Saccharomyces cerevisiae S288C: one gene and its partners. The protein of the gene in region 1 interacts with the protein of each later gene in a biochemical or structural test. Each region holds a gene or a part of one and is shown on either strand. Other genes may lie near its edges. The genes, in order: NFI1, SLX5, UBC9 and SAW1.

What was found.
Region 2: of the proteins of NFI1 (region 1) and SLX5, one has a biochemical effect on the other in vitro, tested with the Saccharomyces cerevisiae proteins (one study listed by BioGRID).
Region 3: the proteins of NFI1 (region 1) and UBC9 form a complex in vitro, tested with the Saccharomyces cerevisiae proteins (11 studies listed by BioGRID, with this or other methods).
Region 4: of the proteins of NFI1 (region 1) and SAW1, one has a biochemical effect on the other in vitro, tested with the Saccharomyces cerevisiae proteins (one study listed by BioGRID).

Annotation. Positions count from the first base shown.
Region 1 is NC_001147.6:625,870-632,495, reverse strand, and holds NFI1 (SUMO ligase NFI1), read left to right. Parts: upstream 1-1,955; coding exon 1,956-4,136; downstream 4,137-6,626. Other genes in the region: mitochondrial 37S ribosomal protein mS26 PET123, read right to left, coding at 1-332; PUP1 (proteasome core particle subunit beta 2), read left to right, coding at 745-1,530; ISN1 (IMP 5'-nucleotidase), read left to right, coding at 4,516-5,868; SLP1 (Slp1p), read right to left, coding at 6,004-6,626. UniProt on the Saccharomyces cerevisiae protein: May act as an E3 ligase mediating SUMO/Smt3 attachment to septins. May be involved in chromosome maintenance.
Region 2 is NC_001136.10:427,565-433,416, forward strand, and holds SLX5 (SUMO-targeted ubiquitin ligase complex subunit SLX5), read left to right. Parts: upstream 1-1,502; coding exon 1,503-3,362; downstream 3,363-5,852. Other genes in the region: rRNA methyltransferase NOP1, read left to right, coding at 1-783; YDL012C (uncharacterized protein), read right to left, coding at 3,544-3,822, 3,909-3,953; glutathione-disulfide reductase GRX6, read left to right, coding at 4,766-5,461; YDL009C (uncharacterized protein), read right to left, coding at 5,361-5,684. UniProt on the Saccharomyces cerevisiae protein: Component of the SUMO-targeted ubiquitin ligase (STUbL) complex SLX5/SLX8 that mediates ubiquitination and subsequent desumoylation of sumoylated proteins and proteins containing SUMO-like domains for their degradation.
Region 3 is NC_001136.10:334,529-339,461, forward strand, and holds UBC9 (E2 SUMO-conjugating protein UBC9), read left to right. Parts: upstream 1-2,958; coding exon 2,959-2,996; intron 2,997-3,106; coding exon 3,107-3,542; downstream 3,543-4,933. Other genes in the region: isocitrate dehydrogenase (NADP(+)) IDP1, read left to right, coding at 307-1,593; PEX19 (Pex19p), read right to left, coding at 1,721-2,749; SYO1 (Syo1p), read right to left, coding at 3,744-4,933. UniProt on the Saccharomyces cerevisiae protein: E2 ubiquitin-like--protein ligase mediating SUMO/Smt3 attachment to septins and PCNA. Seems to be involved in degradation of S- (CLB5) and M-phase cyclins (CLB2).
Region 4 is NC_001133.9:91,147-95,972, forward strand, and holds SAW1 (DNA-binding protein SAW1), read left to right. Parts: upstream 1-3,540; coding exon 3,541-4,326; downstream 4,327-4,826. Other genes in the region: MYO4 (myosin 4), read right to left, coding at 1-1,124; FRT2 (Frt2p), read left to right, coding at 1,754-3,340; aminophospholipid-translocating P4-type ATPase DRS2, read right to left, coding at 4,484-4,826. UniProt on the Saccharomyces cerevisiae protein: Catalyzes 3'-non-homologous tail removal of RAD1/RAD10-dependent single-strand annealing recombination intermediates. Plays a key role in targeting RAD1/RAD10 complex to 3'-flap cleavage substrate in recombination.

The DNA of each region.
Region 1 (6,626 bases):
AATGCTTCAATCAAAAACTTTCTTCTTAATTCAGCTTTTTGTAATCTCACTTTCTGTGCTGAACCGTTACTGGATTTTATACTCTGGGGTTCAGCAACGGTCTTCGCAATGAGATTATCCACGTCGATAAAGTTTACCTTGGGTGATAATCTATGTGATCCTTTTGGATGTTTTACACCTTTGGCATACCCAATACCAAGAACACCCTTGGGCTTGGGTGATTTTACCTTATTAATAATATCAGTCTGCTTTGTAGTGGGGCTCTTCAGAATGGACCTTGTTGTGGGGAAAACCCCACTTTTAAAACCATACTTGGCCGCACCTTTCCCCATACTTCAATTATCCTTGTTATTATTGTTGTTGACAATCAGCAATGAAACTATTACCTAAATAATCCATATGTAGATTCTCTTCTTTATTCTACTCCTCTTGGGAATCACTTTCCTACTCGGCGACTTCAGGGTTCTACTTGCACTTCCGTTGCTAGTGATTTTTCATTAGGGCCAATATTTTTACCCTCATTACAAACCCTTTATTGTAAAAGCGGGTAAATTAGGGCCATGTTTCGTATTTTATAACCCGGCCGAGTGGCAAAATACCAAAAAGAAAGATGAAAAGGATAAACTAATAATTCAGCAGAAGGGTGATCAGTTGAGGTGGAGAGTTTGTATAGTAAAGCGTTAAATTTTTTCAGGAATACTCCCCCCACATAAACCTGATTGTAGAAAATAGAATTGAGTGAGCATGGCAGGTTTATCGTTCGACAATTATCAAAGAAATAATTTCTTAGCGGAAAACTCGCACACACAACCTAAGGCAACTTCCACGGGTACCACCATTGTAGGCGTAAAATTCAATAACGGAGTGGTGATTGCAGCAGATACAAGATCAACACAAGGTCCAATTGTCGCAGATAAGAATTGCGCAAAATTGCATAGAATTTCCCCCAAAATATGGTGTGCTGGTGCCGGTACCGCCGCCGATACTGAGGCAGTTACGCAGTTGATCGGGTCTAACATTGAATTACATTCCTTATATACCTCGAGAGAACCAAGAGTGGTCTCAGCTTTACAAATGCTAAAGCAGCACCTATTTAAGTACCAAGGTCATATTGGTGCTTATTTGATTGTTGCAGGTGTAGACCCTACGGGATCTCATTTGTTCTCCATTCATGCGCATGGTTCTACTGACGTGGGCTACTACCTTTCTCTAGGATCTGGTTCTCTAGCGGCAATGGCTGTGTTGGAATCACACTGGAAGCAAGACCTTACGAAGGAGGAAGCCATAAAGTTGGCCTCTGATGCAATCCAGGCTGGTATCTGGAATGATTTGGGGTCTGGTTCTAATGTGGATGTGTGTGTCATGGAAATAGGTAAAGATGCAGAATACTTGAGGAATTACTTGACTCCAAATGTTAGAGAAGAAAAGCAGAAAAGCTACAAATTCCCCAGGGGTACAACTGCTGTGCTGAAGGAGAGTATTGTCAATATTTGTGACATACAAGAAGAACAAGTCGATATAACGGCTTGAAAGTAAAACATAGAACTTAAGTATATTTTAGTATAGTAAATCATTGTTCAACAAAATGTGATAAAGGAAGTCAAAAACTAACCGCAAAACTATTTACATAATATATTTTCTTATAGCAGAGCTTATTATTTGTTCTTGATTCTTTTTCTTTTTTCTTTTTTTTATGCTTTGAAGTGTGTTAGTTGATTTTTGTTCGTTAATTTTCGTGTTAATTTATCCATCCATTTTAGCTATTTTATCACACAGAGCATAATATAACAAACACAGCTCAGTACCACACATATAACATAACACTAAAATTAACATTTCTATAGTCATCCGTTTGTTGGTCTTTAAAGGGCTATTACTGAGGCAAATATCAAGGAACTAAGAATACCACAAACGATACACTGATAATCAAGAAACGTATAAGGGAAAAGAGCACGATGGCAAGTGTCATGTCAAATAATAATAATAATAATAATAATAATAATGCCAGTTATATGTTTACGAACCCTTTGTCCAACACAGGTGGTGGACTCATAAATGAAATAAAAGATGCAATAAATGAAATGGAACAATTAAAGGTTCTAGAGTTAAAGCAAATATGCAAATCTCTGGATTTATCCATAACGGGCAAAAAGGCTGTCTTACAAGACCGAATAAAACAATTCTTAAGAAAATCCTGTGATATTGGACATATAGATCCGTGGAGGCCTAAGGCTATTAAGATTCTTATCGCGAAAGTAAGGATAAACTCATCATTACCAAAATACTCTACCCTTTGGGAAACTTTAAAGACGGGTGCGTTCAAGCATCCTGTAGCATCGGGGCAACTACCCGTGACAGCTCTCCAGAGTACTGCATTGCCACCTTATTCCCAACAACAGGCCTTAGCATATTCTTTTACCTCACCGTTTTACAAACCAATAGTACAAATACCGGATGCCAATAAAAAATTGAAGCAATCTGCAGGAAGAGGTTGTACAAAAATGAAGTTCAAGGTAAGTAAATCTAATCATGATCTTTTGAAATCTAACAAGAGTTATAAACTGTATTTGTTTTCTGGCTTTTCAATACCGTTTATATATGAAACTGTGGGCCATGAGGCAATAGATTTCCCGTATCCCTGTGAACTAGTGTTTAATGGCACCAAACTAGAGGACAACGTGAAAGGTTTAAAGAAACAAAATGGGACAGGTAATCCTGCAAATTTAACGCCTTATCTTAAAGTACCGACCGAGATGAATCACCTAGACTTACATTATCTCAATATTGATAAAGAGTACTCTATAAGTTGCTTTATAGTGGAAGTTTTTTCACCTGAAGCTCTTCTGGGGAAAATTCTGAAAAGGCCCAAAATTATCAAGCAAGCCACCACAGCATACATCAAAAGAACCTTGAATGAGCAAGATGATGACGATATTATTACAACCTCCACGGTGCTGAGTTTGCAATGTCCTATATCTTGTACAAGGATGAAGTATCCGGCGAAGACTGACCAATGTAAGCATATCCAATGTTTTGATGCTCTCTGGTTTCTTCACTCTCAGTCACAAGTCCCTACATGGCAGTGTCCGATTTGTCAACACCCTATAAAATTCGACCAGTTGAAGATTTCCGAATTTGTAGATAATATTATTCAAAATTGCAATGAAGATGTTGAGCAAGTTGAGATATCTGTTGATGGCTCATGGAAACCGATTCATAATAGTTCGGCCGTTATAACGGATACTGTTAACCAAAATCACAGTGTGAAAAACGAGAACCAAGGCACTGTCAAACAAGAGCAAGATTATGACAGCCGAAATGCCTTCGATACTAATTTGCGTAATGGTTCAAACCACAACGAACCCGAAATAATATCTCTGGATAGCTCAGATGATGAAGCCTTTATTCCGGCTAGTAAAAGCTTCCCAACGCACGTGAACCCCCGTAATGACCAATTAAGAGCAGATATATTTCCCTCAGAATCGGAAGGATCCAGTGACTACAACCCCAATCATACATCAACGCCGAAAGGTTCTCCAACTATGGACCAAGATAATTATCAAGATGCTTTTCAAATGAGGTCATTTTTGAACCAAGGCGCTACTACAAATATAAATGACACACCGACGAACAATAGCAGTATTAATTCTTTCGTTACGGCGACGAATGGTGACAGCAGAATATTCTACAATAGAGGGCCATCAACGCCACTATTACCGGCTGTTCTACAAAATTTGACTAATCAAACGGAAGCGCAGAGAAACCCCTACGGACCTAATTACAATACCACAGCTCAAGATCGTAATCTTTTGGGAATCGAAGGTGATTTGCCTCCAATCCCCCCTGTGGACCCAAATTCAGAAGCAGAAACTGAACTACCAACAAGGACCACATCGGCGGCACATCTCCCTCCATATATACACGTGAGCACCAGCGGCCATGGGGATGATGGAAAAATTAGGAAGAGAAGGCATTCTAATGTTTCTATCTACATTCCGAAGAATCCATACGCCACCCTTATGAAACGGAGACCACAGGCAAATCACGCCATAATGAATAAAACTCTGGCCCAAACTAATGACTTTAACACATCGGCTCAAGATAACTCGGAAGTGGTCGATTTAACATCAGATTGATTAACCGTCTTTTGATTTCTTTCCTTTCCGATTGTATTCTATTTTTATTTCTATTGTTTCATTTCGCTCTTAATATTGACTTCCACTTTTGGGCGTAAATGATGTTTTTGTTTTGATAAATATTACGACTTTTGTTATGTTTTTTTACTACTGTGGTTACTTCATGGGTGTAGTGTGCGAATCTGCAGTGATAGGTTTCTATAGATTTCTCTGTATACTTCCTGTATTACACTATAATATTTCATGTCCTTTCACTTCCCACGTTTAGCGGGACAGGCCGCCCTTAAATTAACAAAATTTAAAAGGTAAAGGAATGTACTAAGAAAAGAAAACTATTCAAAGAAAGTAACAAAAGATCGTGAGTTAACTTATAATAGCAATGTCCTCAAGATATAGAGTGGAATATCATTTGAAGAGCCACCGCAAGGATGAGTTTATAGATTGGGTAAAGGGGCTACTGGCCTCACCTTTTGTTCTACATGCCGTCTCTCATGAAGGTGACTACAATGACGACTTAGCAACAACTCAACGTGTAAGGTCGCAGTATGCTGATATCTTTAAAGACATTGAAGGGCTGATTAAAGATAAAATAGAATTTGACTCAAGAAACATGAGCCAAGACGAAATTGAAGATGGCGCCTCTTCTCAATCTCTGAATATATTAGGACAATCGCGTTTAAATCTTTTGGTTCCATCAATTGGAACATTCTTTACGGAACTTCCATTGGAACAAGCTTTTCTATGGGAAGACTCACAACGGGCCATTTCGGCGCGTAGAATGGTAGCACCCAGTTTTAATGATATCAGGCATATCCTGAATACTGCACAGATATTTCACTTTAAGAAACAGGAGAACTTACATAATGGTAAGGTTTTGAGATTAGTGACTTTTGATGGAGATGTGACGCTGTATGAAGATGGTGGCTCCCTGGTTTACACTAATCCTGTAATTCCTTATATTCTCAAGCTGTTGCGGTGCGGTATCAATGTGGGAATAGTCACTGCGGCCGGATATGATGAAGCTGGAACCTATGAGAACAGATTGAAAGGATTAATTGTTGCATTACATGATTCAACTGATATACCAGTTTCTCAAAAGCAGAATTTAACAATAATGGGTGGTGAGTCGAGTTACCTTTTCCGTTACTATGAAGACCCGGAGGAAGATAACTTTGGCTTTAGACAAATTGACAAAGAGGAATGGCTATTGCCTAGAATGAAGGCTTGGTCCCTCGAGGACGTGGAAAAGACTTTGGACTTTGCCGAGAGAACTCTTAACAGGTTAAGAAAAAGACTAAACCTACCTTCAGAGATTTCTATTATCCGTAAAGTCAGGGCAGTGGGTATCGTCCCAGGCGAACGGTACGATGAAGCTTCTAAAAGACAAGTTCCTGTTAAGCTTGATAGGGAACAACTGGAGGAAATAGTTTTAACCCTTCAAAACACTTTAGAGTCTTTTGCCCCATCTAGAAGAATTCAATTTAGTTGTTTTGATGGTGGTAGTGATGTCTGGTGTGATATTGGGGGGAAAGATCTTGGTGTTCGTTCATTGCAACAATTTTATAACCCTGAATCTCCTATCCAACCCTCTGAAACCTTACACGTAGGCGATCAGTTTGCACCGGTGGGATCAGCAAATGATTTTAAGGCAAGGCTAGCTGGATGTACCCTCTGGATAGCATCCCCTCAAGAAACAGTGAATTATCTTCATAGATTATTAGAAACTGATTAAAACAGTTTATGTAAAATGAAATTAGGACTATAAAAGTATATAGATATTTCCTATAGAAACACCTCATATATGGCGGTGGATTTTTTCATCTTGAATGAATTATGCTTAGAATTATGATTATGGGCCCTCTAGGATTCATCTGATTGCTTGTTGAACAATGTCTGCCTTTTCAATAGCGCCATTTTTGCTCTCTTCGAAATCTTCAAAGTAAAGCTCTCTCGTTATTAATAGATAGGATATCAACCCTACGAAGGCGAAAAATGACGCATAAACAATTCTTCTTTGAAAACTGACTTCTTTTTCCAATCTTTCCAAATGCAATAAATGACGGTTAGTAAATTTGTCATTCTCCAGTTTCTGTTCTTCTAATATACGTAAAGATTGATCTTTCAATTGATTGGCAAAGTTATTCAGCAGATCTAGATTACTCATCATTGTTTCGTTGAATATCGTGACAAGATGACTGAACTTTGCTTCGTGCGCCATTTCAAGTTGTTCAAACGATTTAGATAGCAGTTTGCTCTGTTCCTCAATGTAAGAAACTGTCAAACTAGAATTTGTCTCCAGTTGTGACAGCCTTTTCATGATGTTCTTAAAAATGGATTCTTCTGGAATTACAGGAACAGCCGAAGAAGAAGAAGAAGATATCATTTGCTTGGAAGGACAAAAGGATGCATTAAGCACCTTGAAAAATTCATCGAACTTCAAAGGGATGAGCTTTGAAGTACATGATAATGCACCAGCTAAGTCTGAGAGAT
Region 2 (5,852 bases), on another chromosome or scaffold:
GGCTCCAGAGGTGGTAGAGGTGGCGCTGCTGGTGGTGCCCGTGGTGGTGCCAAGGTCGTTATTGAACCACATAGACATGCCGGTGTTTACATTGCTAGAGGTAAAGAAGATTTGCTAGTTACCAAGAACATGGCCCCAGGTGAATCAGTTTATGGTGAAAAGAGAATCTCCGTTGAAGAACCATCTAAGGAAGATGGTGTCCCACCAACCAAGGTCGAATACCGTGTATGGAACCCATTCAGATCTAAGTTGGCTGCCGGTATTATGGGTGGTCTAGATGAATTATTTATTGCCCCAGGCAAGAAAGTTTTATATTTAGGTGCTGCTTCCGGTACTTCTGTTTCTCACGTTTCAGATGTTGTTGGTCCAGAAGGTGTTGTCTACGCCGTAGAATTTTCTCACAGACCAGGCAGAGAATTGATTTCTATGGCAAAGAAGAGACCTAATATCATCCCAATCATTGAAGATGCTAGACACCCACAAAAATACAGAATGTTGATTGGTATGGTTGACTGTGTCTTCGCAGATGTTGCCCAGCCTGATCAAGCTCGTATTATTGCATTGAACTCTCATATGTTCTTGAAGGACCAAGGTGGTGTTGTTATCTCCATTAAGGCTAACTGTATTGATTCTACTGTAGACGCGGAAACCGTTTTTGCTAGAGAAGTTCAAAAGTTACGTGAGGAACGTATTAAGCCATTAGAACAATTGACTTTAGAGCCATATGAAAGAGACCATTGTATCGTCGTTGGTAGATACATGAGAAGCGGTTTGAAGAAATAAGTTGAATAAAGGAAATTAGTCAAAAGTTTCTGGTAGCTTGCTCAATTATTAGCAGAATAATTGTTTCGTTTATATATATTTCCCCCATTCAGTTTCACTTCCTATTTGAAGTTTTTGTAACCCTCGACTTTGTAAAATAGATATTACTAAATTCTTTTAGAGAACAAAAGTATTGTACGTATTCGCCATATAAAAAAAAAAGAGTATATGTGGTGACTTTTTGGTCATTAATTGTTAAGAGCAAGCAAGTAGAAATCATAATCATATTTCGAGTTTTTTAAAGGTAGGAACAATATCGATAAGCTGTTCTCCAGTCTCGACACTGTTTGATGACCATATATCATTAATTCTTGTAACACTACATCATAGATTTCTCTTTATCCTTGGATTGAATCTGAAAAAATTTTGATAGAGTCTTTTGTTCAAAGTGTCACTTCTTCATCTGTCACTCTTACGTATTTTTTTTTTTTTGGCTTTGCCCATAAGAAACATCACTGTATACGCAAGGTCGCAATATTTACTATTTAACATGGATGAGAGGCAGTGTGCGACCAAAACGAAGACTTAATCATTAAGAAGAGCGTGTGTTGCGTTGATTGGTAATAACCAAGTCGAAATTTGCACTAGGAGCTTCAGTCTAGGAGTGAACTTTTGAAAAGATTTCAGTCCAAAAATTATTATTTGGAACGCGGAGCTCCTCTAATAGTCGAAATAATAGAATGCATAGCGATACTAACGGTCGAACAAAGAGCAATAATAGCCCATCAGACAATAATCCAAATGAGACAGTTATATTAATAGATAGTGATAAGGAAGAAGACGCTTCTATTCGCGAGGCTAACCTTCCTGTGAGGTTGTACCCAGACAGACGGGTAGGGAGACGACGTGATGCTTTAAATAGGTTTGTGAGGTCAGATTCAAGGAGCAGGAATTCTCAACGGACTCACATAACAGCAAGCTCTGAGCGCCCTGATTTTCAAGCTAATAACGACGATATCACTATAATACGAGAAGTTGGACGGTTTTTTGGAGACGATGGACCTATTGATCCTTCTGCACATTACGTCGATCTTGATCAGGAGCCAGGTTCTGAAACGTTAGAAACTCCAAGAACAATACAAGTAGATAACACAAACGGGTACTTGAATGATAATGGTAATAACAATGAAAGTGATGATGGCCTGACAATAGTTGAAGAGAGAACAACACGACCCAGAGTGACACTGAACCTGCCAGGCGGGGAGAGGCTTGAGGTAACTGCGACGACAACAGACATACCGATAAGAAGGTCATTTGAATTCCAAGAAGATCTAGGCGCATCACGCAGGCAGTTACTGAGAAGGAGTGCTACAAGAGCCCGTAATTTATTTGTGGACCGGTCTGATGAAAACGATGAAGATTGGACAGATGATACCCATAATTTACCAGAAGCTATTCAAAGGGCTCGTAGGGAGAGCCGTATGCGAATGAGCAGACGGATTGCAGAAAGACAACGTAGGGTACAACAGCAAAGGGTGTCCAGTGACGAAAATATAAGTACATCTATTAGGTTACAATCAATCAGGGAACGAATACAATCATATACGCCTGATATTCGTAGTGCTTTTCATCGTGCAGAGTCACTGCATGAATTCAGGTCTATTTTACAAAATGTTGCTCCAATTACTTTGCAAGAATGTGAAGAAGAACTAATGGCACTCTTCACTGAGTTCAGAAATCAACTGCTGCAGAATTGGGCCATTGATAGGGTCAGAAATACTCAGGAAGAGGCCTTGAGACTTCACCGAGAAGCATTGGAAAGACAAGAAAGAACGGCAGGAAGAGTTTTCCATCGTGGCACATTACGTGAATCAATCACAAACTATCTTAATTTCAATGGAGAGGATGGGTTCTTAAGTCGTTTGTGGAGTGGCCCAGCATTGAGCGATGCTGACGAGGAACGACACACTCAAAATATCATTGATATGATCCAAGAGAGAGAAGAACGAGAGCGGGATGTGGTCATGAAGAATCTAATGAACAAAACCAGAGCCCAACAGGAAGAATTCGAAGCTAGGGCAGCCAGCCTACCCGAAGGTTATAGCGCGTCATTTGATACTACGCCAAAAATGAAATTAGACATTACGAAAAATGGTAAAGAAGAAACCATCATTGTGACAGATGACGATTTAGCAAAAACACTCGAGGATATTCCTGTTTGTTGCTTGTGTGGCGCAGAATTGGGGGTCGGAATACCGGATGATTTTACTGGAATCAGTCAAAAGGATCGTGGTGTTTCATTTGAAGGGTTAGTGTCAAAATACAAATTCCACTGCCCCTACCAAACCCTAGCCAGACCATCAATGCTTGATAGAGATTTATCAAAACGAACGTTTATTGCATCGTGTGGTCATGCATTTTGTGGTAGGTGTTTCGCCAGGATTGACAATGCAAAAAAAAAATCTAAGATGCCCAAAAAGAAACTAGCTCAACTAAAGGGTTCGGCTCATCCGGATAATTATGGCCCCAAATTATGTCCCGCAGATTCTTGTAAGAAGCTTATTCGTTCAAGAGGCAGGTTGAAGGAGGTTTACTTCTAGCACGCGGTTTAATTTTTATAAGGGCATTTTCGAACTTATCATCATTATATATTATCTACTTGCATGAACACTTTAATCACGCTTATTTAATTAAGATTAAAAGATCAGAGGTGCAATTGTGCTTTGTTTTATATAGTGGATTTGTGTGAAAGGGTTTGCTCCCACAAGATATGGAGATACTCTAAAACAGCATATCCAAAGTACAGCATAAACATAAACCCGCTAGACAGCCCGCTAGACAGTCTTCATTTCCAGAACTGGCCGGTTGTTGTTGGACATAAATGGGCTGCTGTGGGTGTTGTTGGTAATATTGGGGCTGCTGTTGCTGATAGTATTGAGGTTGTTGCTGATACTGCTGCTGCTGCTGTTGAGGTGGATAATAGTTCTGTTGGCTTTGCGATGGAGCGTAACCTCTAGACGCCGTTTCATATCCTGGTGGTGGAGCGCTAGGACGAGAATACTGAATCGAAAGTGATGTAATGAAAATACAAGGGCTCGTTAGTACGATGTGATCTTCTAAAGGCAAAACTTGTAAAATTAACGTACGCTTTGTTTGGAGGCAGAGTTTCCGTAATAATCTTGAGCTGACATGAGATGTGTATTTGCTTGGTTTATGGGCTATTGTATGGGTTTGTCTTAATATCCTTTTCGGTTGCGTAAATACTTTTTATATTTCAATATTTCACGATGCCGCTGATAGCATCGTTTAATACGAAAACTTCGAGCCATTTACCAAGAAATATTCTGGACTAGGTGGAAGGAAGCTTCGAGAACTCACCGTGGCTATTCAAGGCTGATGGACATATGTACTGGGCTGAGCTTAAGATCTCCCATTACTGCTCCGTGGGGTTTTATGTGAAATGTGGCGTTTCAGCAGTTTTTAGTTGGCTAATTTCCTAAAAGTAGTAATTAGTTTCTTATGATGGATTTAATGGCGTAGTTCATCCGCGTTTAATTTAACTAGAGGATAATCTACTTGCAGCATGAATGAAAATAGTAAGCCAGTAAGGATGCACTGACAGACTCAGCTACCGATTAGTGTTGTTGACTTTTCCGCAAGATCCTTTTCTCCCTCTTTGGACCTAGTCATCCCTCCACACAAGATTCGCTCTTAAGTAGTGGCGCAGGCTGTTCGCTTTTAAGCATAGTGCTTAATGTCGAAGGCTTTATAGATCCCAAATACTACGCCTTGAGAAATTGAATGCACTAGCAGTTAGTTAACTTTCTGGAACGCGCATGACGCGTCCCGGGGCGCCTGAGGCGGAGCGTTCGCGAAATCGGGAAAACATTATACTGGGAAAGATCACTATCTATTCTCTAAATGAACTTTTAAGCAAATTATCGTAAGATAGAAAAGACGAAACCTTAGCAACCTAGCGGTTTAATATAGAAACAATTTTATTATGATACCTTCCAATAAGAGAAATGCTAGAATTTTAAGCATTACAACGCTATTATTGTTGTTAGTGTTTTTCGTAGCGCAAAATGCGAACTTCTTGACGGTAGAGATAAAAGAGGAAACTTCTAAAGCATTTAGTACTAATATGGACAATATGGCTGGAGGATCTTCCAGGGAATATGCTGCTATGCCGACTTCTACCACGAATAAGGGGAGCTCTGAAGTAGACGAAGAAATTAATGAAATAAAACAGAAGGTGGGACTCCAACAGCCCATAGCATCGGTTGATGATAGTTTGTCGGCCATTAAAAACGATAAAGGGTCGCGAATAACCAAAGCTTTTAATGTTCAAAAAGAATACTCCCTCATACTAGACTTGTCTCCGATTATAATATTTAGTAAAAGCACCTGTTCATATAGCAAGGGCATGAAGGAACTGCTTGAAAATGAGTATCAGTTTATCCCAAACTACTATATTATAGAACTTGACAAACATGGACATGGGGAAGAGCTGCAAGAATATATCAAGTTGGTGACCGGTAGAGGAACTGTTCCAAACCTTTTGGTTAATGGAGTATCAAGAGGAGGTAATGAAGAAATCAAGAAACTGCACACTCAAGGGAAACTTTTAGAATCATTACAAGTCTGGAGTGATGGTAAATTCTCGGTTGAGCAACGTGAAAAACCTTCCAATAATTGAAATTGTTACAAAAAGGAAAGAAGAAAAAATTAAGAATAAATATATAAATAAAGAGGTCGTGAATGATTAGGTCGTGAAATGCAGTGTAGTTGGAAAGGCGTAGTTTTCCTAGCACAAGGCGTTTCGGAGTTGGAATAAAGAAGCTATCACCAACGAAGAAGCTTTTTTGTCCAAGACATCTCTTAAAAGGGTTGTGAAAACATAAAACGCTTAATGCCTTCATATATACATATATAAGTTTATGGTTTCGATGTTTACAATAACTTCTATCCTTTGCTGGTCCATGCACTTCACCTTGGTAAGTTATGCAACGCACTTTTGTCTACGCCTGCATTCGATATAAAGGGTAAGCTGCCGAGATAACTTTTGTATCTTCCGTGTCTGCAGATAA
Region 3 (4,933 bases), on another chromosome or scaffold:
TGGTAGCGGGCCAATCAGGTTGCAGTAAATGAAGAGATATAGAGGAGGACTCTGCTAAAGACCATAACAAGGGTCTGCAATGATCTTGGACTAAATAAAGGTGTCTTACAATCCAAAAGAGCTTGAATCATTCCTTTTATGAGCTAAATAGCACCGTTTGCACCTTCTGATAACGCTTTACGGGTCACGCGCGGATTTTGACTCACATAATTCCACTTGCCCATATAAAGAGGGACTCATATGATCTTATGAAATCTTCCTTCAAGCAATTGTGAGACAACAGACGCACAAGGAAGATCGCCCAGCATGAGTATGTTATCTAGAAGATTATTTTCCACCTCTCGCCTTGCTGCTTTCAGTAAGATTAAGGTCAAACAACCCGTTGTCGAGTTGGACGGTGATGAAATGACCCGTATCATTTGGGATAAGATCAAGAAGAAATTGATTCTACCCTACTTGGACGTAGATTTGAAGTACTACGACTTATCTGTCGAATCTCGTGACGCCACCTCCGACAAGATTACTCAGGATGCTGCTGAGGCGATCAAGAAGTATGGTGTTGGTATCAAATGTGCCACCATCACTCCTGATGAAGCTCGTGTGAAGGAATTCAACCTGCACAAGATGTGGAAATCTCCTAATGGTACCATCAGAAACATTCTCGGCGGTACAGTGTTCAGAGAGCCCATTGTGATTCCTAGAATTCCTAGACTGGTCCCACGTTGGGAAAAACCAATCATTATTGGAAGACACGCCCACGGTGATCAATATAAAGCTACGGACACACTGATCCCAGGCCCAGGATCTTTGGAACTGGTCTACAAGCCATCCGACCCTACGACTGCTCAACCACAAACTTTGAAAGTGTATGACTACAAGGGCAGTGGTGTGGCCATGGCCATGTACAATACTGACGAATCCATCGAAGGGTTTGCTCATTCGTCTTTCAAGCTGGCCATTGACAAAAAGCTAAATCTTTTCTTGTCAACCAAGAACACTATTTTGAAGAAATATGACGGTCGGTTCAAAGACATTTTCCAAGAAGTTTATGAAGCTCAATATAAATCCAAATTCGAACAACTAGGGATCCACTATGAACACCGTTTAATTGATGATATGGTCGCTCAAATGATAAAATCTAAAGGTGGCTTTATCATGGCGCTAAAGAACTATGACGGTGATGTCCAATCTGACATCGTCGCTCAAGGATTTGGCTCCTTAGGTTTGATGACTTCTATCTTAGTTACACCAGACGGTAAAACTTTCGAAAGTGAAGCTGCTCATGGTACCGTGACAAGACATTATAGAAAGTACCAAAAGGGTGAAGAAACTTCTACAAACTCCATTGCATCCATTTTCGCGTGGTCGAGAGGTCTATTGAAGAGAGGTGAATTGGACAATACTCCTGCTTTGTGTAAATTTGCCAATATTTTGGAATCCGCCACTTTGAACACAGTTCAGCAAGACGGTATCATGACGAAGGACTTGGCTTTGGCTTGCGGTAACAACGAAAGATCTGCTTATGTTACCACAGAAGAATTTTTGGATGCCGTTGAAAAAAGACTACAAAAAGAAATCAAGTCGATCGAGTAATCGAATTTACGTAGCCCAATCTACCACTTTTTTTTTTCATTTTTTAAAGTGTTATACTTAGTTATGCTCTAGGATAATGAACTACTTTTTTTTTTTTTTTTTTACTGTTATCATAAATATATATACCTTATTGTTGTTTGCAACCGTCGGTTAATTCCTTATCAAGGTTCCCCAAGTTCGGATCATTACCATCAATTTCCAACATTTTCATGAGTTCTTCTTCTTCATTACCGTGTTTTAGGGGGCTGTTCGCACTTCTAATAGGGCTATCACCAAGCTGTTCTAATTCGTCCAAAAGTTCAGTAACACGATCTTTATGCTTTAGCTCGTCATAATCTTTCAATTCATAAATATTTACAATTTCGTCTACGATATTAAATTGCCTCTTGTAGGTGCCTATCTTTTCCTTATGCTCTTCATTTTCACCGTTTTCTTGAAACCAAACACCGAACTCACTACGCATTTCTTTCATAGGCTCATATAATACTTCTTTTGACGTCATTTGATCAAGTATTTTTGTTATTGCGTCGTCCATCTCCCCATCTTTTAGATCAAATTGATTTTCTGCACTTTCTTTTCCACCAGATGCTACCATTTGATCTAATAATTGTGACAATATATCATCAATATTATTATTTTGGCCACTGCGTTGAGATTCCTTGGTTTCTTCGGCTAGGGATGTATCAACTTTATTACCATTTTCCTTTAACCTGTCTAGCGTATTGGAAACAATGTTTTTAAATCCCGGATTGCTACCATTCACGGTCCCTTTATCAGTGCTGTTACTTTTCAAACTACTACATCCTTGCTCCATCTGTTGATGAGGTACTTTAGCTGCCTCTTCTAGAGCACTAATCAGTTTATTAAAATCTTCTGTCTTCACATTATTCTCGTTACCGTTATTTTTCATCAAATTTGCGAACTCATTTTGCAAATCTACCATCATTTCTTTCAATTCTGGGTCCTCTTCAGATTCATTAGCTACCTGTACGCCATCACTGTCCTTACTTTCGGCATTCTTCTCTTTGTTTTCACTATCGTTGTACACAGAACCCTTCGCTTGCACATCATCGGGCTCTGCTTCATCCAGTTTAGTGGGATCTTCATCTAAAAGGTCATCCAAATCATCAAAATTATCGTACTCGTTTTCATTCATTACTTCGTGTTGTATGTTTGGCATTTCTTCTTTCCGTCAATACTTCGGTTCCCACAATTTGTAATTCTTTCTTCACTTTATATCTCTCAGAAACCGCGTTTAACATCTGGAAATTAAAAATTATTCCTGTCTCCATAACAAACATTTAAAAAAAGAAGAGAAATTTAGCATAGGATAAGCACACACTGGCACCATTTTTTGGAAGCAATATGAGTAGTTTGTGTCTACAGCGTCTTCAGGAAGAAAGGTAAGTAGTAGTTTTCCTCCTTTTATGCTTACATTCTGTAGGCATACACAATTTCATCCAGCGGTATACTAACAAATCGATGAACTTAACTTGTTTTACTTGAATAACAGAAAAAAATGGAGAAAGGATCATCCATTTGGATTTTATGCCAAACCAGTTAAGAAAGCTGATGGGTCCATGGATTTACAGAAATGGGAAGCTGGTATCCCAGGCAAAGAAGGTACAAACTGGGCGGGTGGTGTGTACCCAATTACAGTCGAATATCCAAATGAATATCCTTCAAAACCTCCAAAGGTTAAATTTCCAGCCGGATTTTATCATCCAAACGTGTATCCAAGTGGCACAATATGTTTAAGTATTTTAAATGAAGATCAAGATTGGAGACCCGCCATCACGTTAAAACAAATTGTTCTTGGGGTTCAGGATCTTTTAGACTCTCCAAATCCAAATTCCCCTGCTCAAGAGCCTGCATGGAGATCATTTTCAAGAAATAAGGCGGAATATGACAAGAAAGTTTTGCTTCAAGCTAAACAGTACTCTAAATAGAGGGAATCCATCTTTCCCATTCTTCCTCCTTTTGTACTTTATTTAACTAATGTCGTTGTGTAACAAAAATAGAGCAAAATAACATTATTTACAAATTCTCAAAAATAATTTTTTGCTCTTTGTTTCTTATGCTAAGTAAATAGAAAGATATTTTTTGTACCATTTTCTATAAGTATGGCAACTATATACACTTTAATAAATCTATTGGTTAGTAGAATTTTCATTCATTTTGTAGTGAATGAAACTATCCAACGTAGTAAAGCAATCATGGCATCTTTCTTTTAGTTCGGGATTTTTGTTTTTATCAACCATTTTGAATTGCTGCCTCAAATTTGGTACAACTTGGTCTTTTAGAATAGATAAAAATCCACCCCTTACAAATATTGGTTCATTATAGTCGTAAGAGGCATCCCCGTAAATTTGGAAAAGCGAATTTGTCATTTCTATCAAAATTTCAGGGCGAACATTCAACTGTGTTAAAGTTTGTATGAAGAACTGCCCAATCTCCTTATTTGCATCAATTTGTCCCTGAATCATAGCATATGTGCTTAGTACATTAATACATTTTTGTTGTAACTCAAGGTCATTATTATTTTGGAACTCTTCAATAATTCCCCTAGCGAATCCTGAATTGTTCAGCATTTGGACATTGATCAATGCTCGATTCTCACTTTCAAACGCTCCATCAGGAAAGATGAGTTTCAGAAGCGCCCAAATACAGCCCATTCTTCCTATTTTAATACTCAAATCATCTTGGCTGTCCAACTGTGTAACATAACTCCATAAGGTGGTTAACAACTCTCCAGAGAGCTCTGTTAGAGATAGAGACACAAAGAGCCAGATCAGATTGTTCCATCCGATCAATATTCGCGAGGTGAAGGTATCTTTCAAAATCATGAAAACGTGAGGTAAGAAATTTGTTAAGGTATTGATTAGCTCCTCTGGAATTGCTACTTCCTGTGATTCTGGTGATTCATATTTGGATGCAACTATCTCAATGATTGCGGTGATAAGATCAATTGCTATTTCAATGCTTTGCAATTTTATCATGGATTCGTTACGTTTCGCATTGTAATCCTTGATCTTAGTTATAACCTTACTGCTTTCATCTTTACTAGTAGCAGGTCCAATTTCTACAGGGTTATTAATGTCATTAACTAACTGTACTGGATCAATGTTATTAATGGAATGACATACAGAGTGGATCATTTTGTTACATTGATCATAAGTTATTTTCATGTCAAGGAATTGGCAATGGATACCTTCAATTAGAACTTTTGTTAATTCATTAGCTTGTGGATGTAAAGCCGGAGATAGCCCATTTAAGAACTGTGATAGAAGTTCATTGTTGGAAACATGATCAATAAATTCAAATGATTCGGAACTCAAAT
Region 4 (4,826 bases), on another chromosome or scaffold:
GGATCAATACCCAATAATTCACATGCGATTTGCAGGTTTTGCTCTTCCGATGATAGTGATGCGTCGTTTCTAGTCATTTTCATCTCGATATTACCTATATGTAGCAAGCCTGCAAGAATTTTGAAAATTCCAAGCTGAGTCTCGTGGTTTATACCTACTAATGACAGGGCATCAGTGGTTATCTTGTATTCTCGAGCTTCATCTATACCAGCTATGTTCGGCTGTCCACCTTGGTTAGTATAATGGTAGTCCTTGGGAGATGACAAATGCAGTTCTTGTTTTACCGGTTCTGGCAATCCTTCCAAAATTTGGTAAAAAATATGGTAATTTCTTTCTGTCTCTGGCTGATAAACTAACCTGGATTTTTCCAAGAGATAGGTTCTAATTTTGGACCCCCTGATGGTAGTATTCTCATCAAATAAAATTTGCAGATATTTGCCGAAACGAGAGGAATTATCATTTCTGGTAGTTTTGGCGTTACCAAAGGCTTCCATGATCGGGTTAGTAGCTAAAATTTGGCTCTCGATTTGAGACATTTCCACTTCCCCTTCACGATTGTTGCTTTCTTGGACTGAGGCAAAGTATCTCATAATGTATTTAGCAGAGACGGTCTTACCAGCACCGGATTCACCACTGACTACAACAGTCTGGTTAGCCTTTTCATGGACCATGAACCTGTACGCCTCCTCTGCTATGGCAAAAAGGTGCGGCTCCAGCTCATCTTTACGCTTACTAGAATAATTCTGTATCATCTCGCGAGAGTACAAATGGTCGACTTTATCAAAGGGATTAGCGGCAATAAGGACAATACCAGAGTAAGTATATATCTGTCCATTCATGTATCTTTTTTTTATGGCATGCAGCACTGCCGGTTCGTTCAGATATGATAGGGTGGTTAAGTCATCAGTAGACTCTAAAATAGGTGGGTTTCGTAGTACAGGTAGCGTGGGATGATCATCATCATTTTCGAAGCTATTTGTTTCAATGGATACAGTTTCTCCATCCTCCAATTTCAACTCTAAGTGGAACGTTCCTTCAAAGAAGTCATTCTTGGTGACTTCGCCGCCTATCCAGCCTTGTTCTTTGTGAGGGTACCAACACTTAGTTCCTACTTCAAATGACATGCGGGAGAACTGGTTATAGGATTTTTTTTGTTTTTTTGTGTTTTAGAATTAGATTGAATTATAAAAAGAAGAACAAAAGGGTATCGTATTGAAAATAAATTGTCTCGCCAAACTGGTAACAATGTTTTCAGCTAGAACAATAAGAAAAGAAGAGAAGGTAAAAAAAAAGGTGATAACTCCGTAGGAATTGAGGAATTGAGTATGCAGAATCAGAATAAAGGCTGACTTTCAAAAAAAGGTTGTATTACAATTGCAGGTTTTCGATAAAAGAGACCCTATTCTCATCTACTACTGCTAAACTTCGAGATATTTTCGAATTTTTCAGTCTTTTCTTTTTTTTTTTTCGCATTAGTTCAGAACCCTAAAGAATGGTAAACATTCTATGGATAACCCGGAGAGTGAGTTTCTTAAAGACCTAGTTTTATTTTAAGGGTTTTAACTCAATCTTGATGTTTTCATTGTGTACCCTAAAGAAAGTTTAAGAATAGCCCTAACTGTTACCTTTTGAAATAAAATAAGGGGAAGGTCAAAAAGCTATTGTTCTATTGTTATGAAACATTGTCTCAAAGAGTAAGAATAACACAAATTGATGGCAGTTTTTTACGTAGTCCAGTAGTTGTCCAGGTACAATGCAAAATGCTCAAATAAAGAGCTCTTCTAAAGGCAGCGGAATAGATGGTACAGATCGCAATAGCAAAGATGGTGTAGAAAAGAGACCCCTGGAAGATGTAAAGCAAATGATTGACGCTGGAACACCAGATGTTGGCCACAAATCTACTGTTGAAACTAAGCCAAACGTTGGATGGCAAGCCTCTCACAGTAATTTGGCTGCATTACACGAAAAAGAGCAGAAATATGAAATGGAGCACCATCATGCTCGTCATAAACTGCATCGTCAAGTTATTCCGGATTACACGTCTGCCTCGACCGCAATGTTCAGCGATTGTATGTTCAACGCAGCACCAGATAAAGTACGAAGTCTCAGTACGATGAAGTCTTCTGGACTCTCGCCAAAACACCCATTTAACGTAGTCGCCACCTTTAAAGGACCATTCCCGCAGCATAGTGTAGAATCAAAGCCTCTCGATGGTGGATACTCTGCCAAAGACCATTTTCCCTCATTTAAGATGTTGCAAGCCCAGCAGCACCCAGCCCATCGCCATTACAAAGACAACGACAAGTACGGTCTTAAATCACCTTCCCGGTCCTTCGTGAAGGACAAGAAAAGGTTGGTTCACCGGTTTTTGAAATCCATGGAGCCTTCTTCGTCTGGGCAATCTAAGGATTCGTCTGCACTGGCGCCGGCTTTCGATCCAATATTGCCCAATGTTATATCTAAGCCTTCCAAGCGACCCACACATCATTCGCATTCATCAGACGGGAGTTCTAGCACGCAGACAGATATATCGTTACAGAGCTTGCTTTACCATGATCTTGAAAGCTCACCAAAGAAACATGTTTCGCCCTCAAGACCGCCCTCTGTAGCTTCCGAATCCTCTCCTGCCGTTGCTAATCCCATTGGGCTTTCGCCAAAAGACGCCTGCAATGCATCGTTTTCGCAGTCGTCCTCATCTTCGTTGTCTTCTTCTTCATCGTCTTCATCATCGACGTCATTCTCACAGTCAGTGGCTGTTGATCCTCTTGAACCTCCTGGAAATATCACATATAGTAGTTCGAATCTTTCGCTAAATTCAGATGAATTAGACTACTATCAGCGTCATATCGGATTGCAGTTACAGCAGACAGAAGCTTTACTAAAGCACAGTTTGAAAGATGAGGTTCTGAAAGATGAAAATGACCTTGTTAAAAACATTGCAAATTTTGACAAGATCGTTAAAGAGCTAAGGGACTTAAGATCCAGGACCATTGGATGGAAAGAGCTTGTTGAAGAGGATTATTTAATGAATTTGAAACAGGATTTTGACAAGGAAAACCCCGAATCATTTGAGGCACGTTTGAGTGATACAATAAATACAAACGTGGCAAAATTACAAGATTTAGAGAAAAGAATGGCTTCTTGCAAAGACAGGTTGGCCTCTAGGAAGGAAGTAATGAGGAAAATGGAAAGTTTATTGTCTTTGGAGAATTCCTTAATGATATCCAAAAAAAATGTAACATTCGCATCTAAATACCGCAACGAGGCCCTTGATATTGTCTTTTTAATTATCATCATCGTCATATGCTATACCTTCAAGCATCTAGTATCGCATAAATAAAAAATAGTATTTGTATATCAAAAAATGATCCTGTGATTTTTTCATATGTAACGTATAAATGTAAAAATGTGCTTCTTCTGGTATTTTTAATCAAGTGGAAAGATGAGTGGAAAAAAGGGCAATGAAATAGAAAAGGACAGGCCTGAAAGGGAAGAATACAAGAAGATTGAGTATATTGGACTTCACAGTAACCGTGAAAAATGGCACCAAGTATAGCAACGGTAAAGATAGCCAGGGACATGGTTTTGCCATTACGTATATTTGTCAATAGAAAGCAGATCCTTCAAACCAATGATAAGACTAGCAATAAGTCGAATGCCACTATATTTGAAGCACCATTATTATCAAATAACTCCATAATCTGCTTAAAATCACCAAATACAAGAATATATTTATCGCAACAAGATAAGAAGAATCTTTGTGACGAGATCAAGGAGGACCTGTTATTGATTGTTTACGAACTAGCGTCCCCGGAAATCATCAGTTCCGTACTCAGCAAAATAAGAGTTGGTCATTCTACTGATTTCCAAATCAACGTTCTGCCCAAACTTTTTGCAGGTGCCGATACGGATAATGCGGTAACTTCTCACATCCAGTCTGTGACAAGGCTGGCTAAATTCAAATACAAGTTGCACTACAAACATAAGTGGGAGCTCGACATATTCATCAACAGCATTAAGAAGATCGCCAATTTAAGGCACTATTTGATGTTTCAAACATTAACATTAAACGGTTTCTCATTAAATGCAGGACCCAAAACGTTATTAGCTAGGAAAATAGAAAAACAGCCCCAGGTACCTAATTTGTTAATAGAAAATGGGGACGCTGATGCCCTGGATACACCGGTGGAAGAGGATATAAAACCTGTAATAGAATTTATGTACAAGCCTGTTATTAATTTAGGTGAAATTATTGATGTACATGTGTTGCATAGGCCTAGAAGACATAAGGTACGTACCCAGTCGAAGCAACCCCAGGAGGAATGAAAAACCGATAACAAAGTGATGGCTTAATATTATAACTTCTATATAACGGATATATTTTATGGTAAATGTACATATTTCAGTAATGGTAATAATGACTTTTCTTTTTATCTTATTTTTATTTTTGTATTTTTTGTCTTCTGCTCTTTGTTTCTGTGCCTCATATATCAAATGAAATATCATCTCTCGAAGAACTGAATCTATTTGAATTTTGATTACCATCAGCAAATGGATTTTCAATGAACGGTTCTGCACTTTCAAAGTCGTTACTTCCCAGTCCATTATTGTCATTAAAGGGGTTCGCCGAAGCATCTTGTAATTCACCGTACTTACCTCTCTTTTGAGTAGTATCATACATTCTGACAATTTTTTCTTGCCCACCCTCTTCAGCCTGTGAAAAGGCAAATCCTCTTTGTTTTTTCATTCTTTGCACTTGCCTCACCTTCCTGATGGCATTTTGAAATTGCTGAACGTGCGGCCTAGAGTCGCTGATATTGTATTTC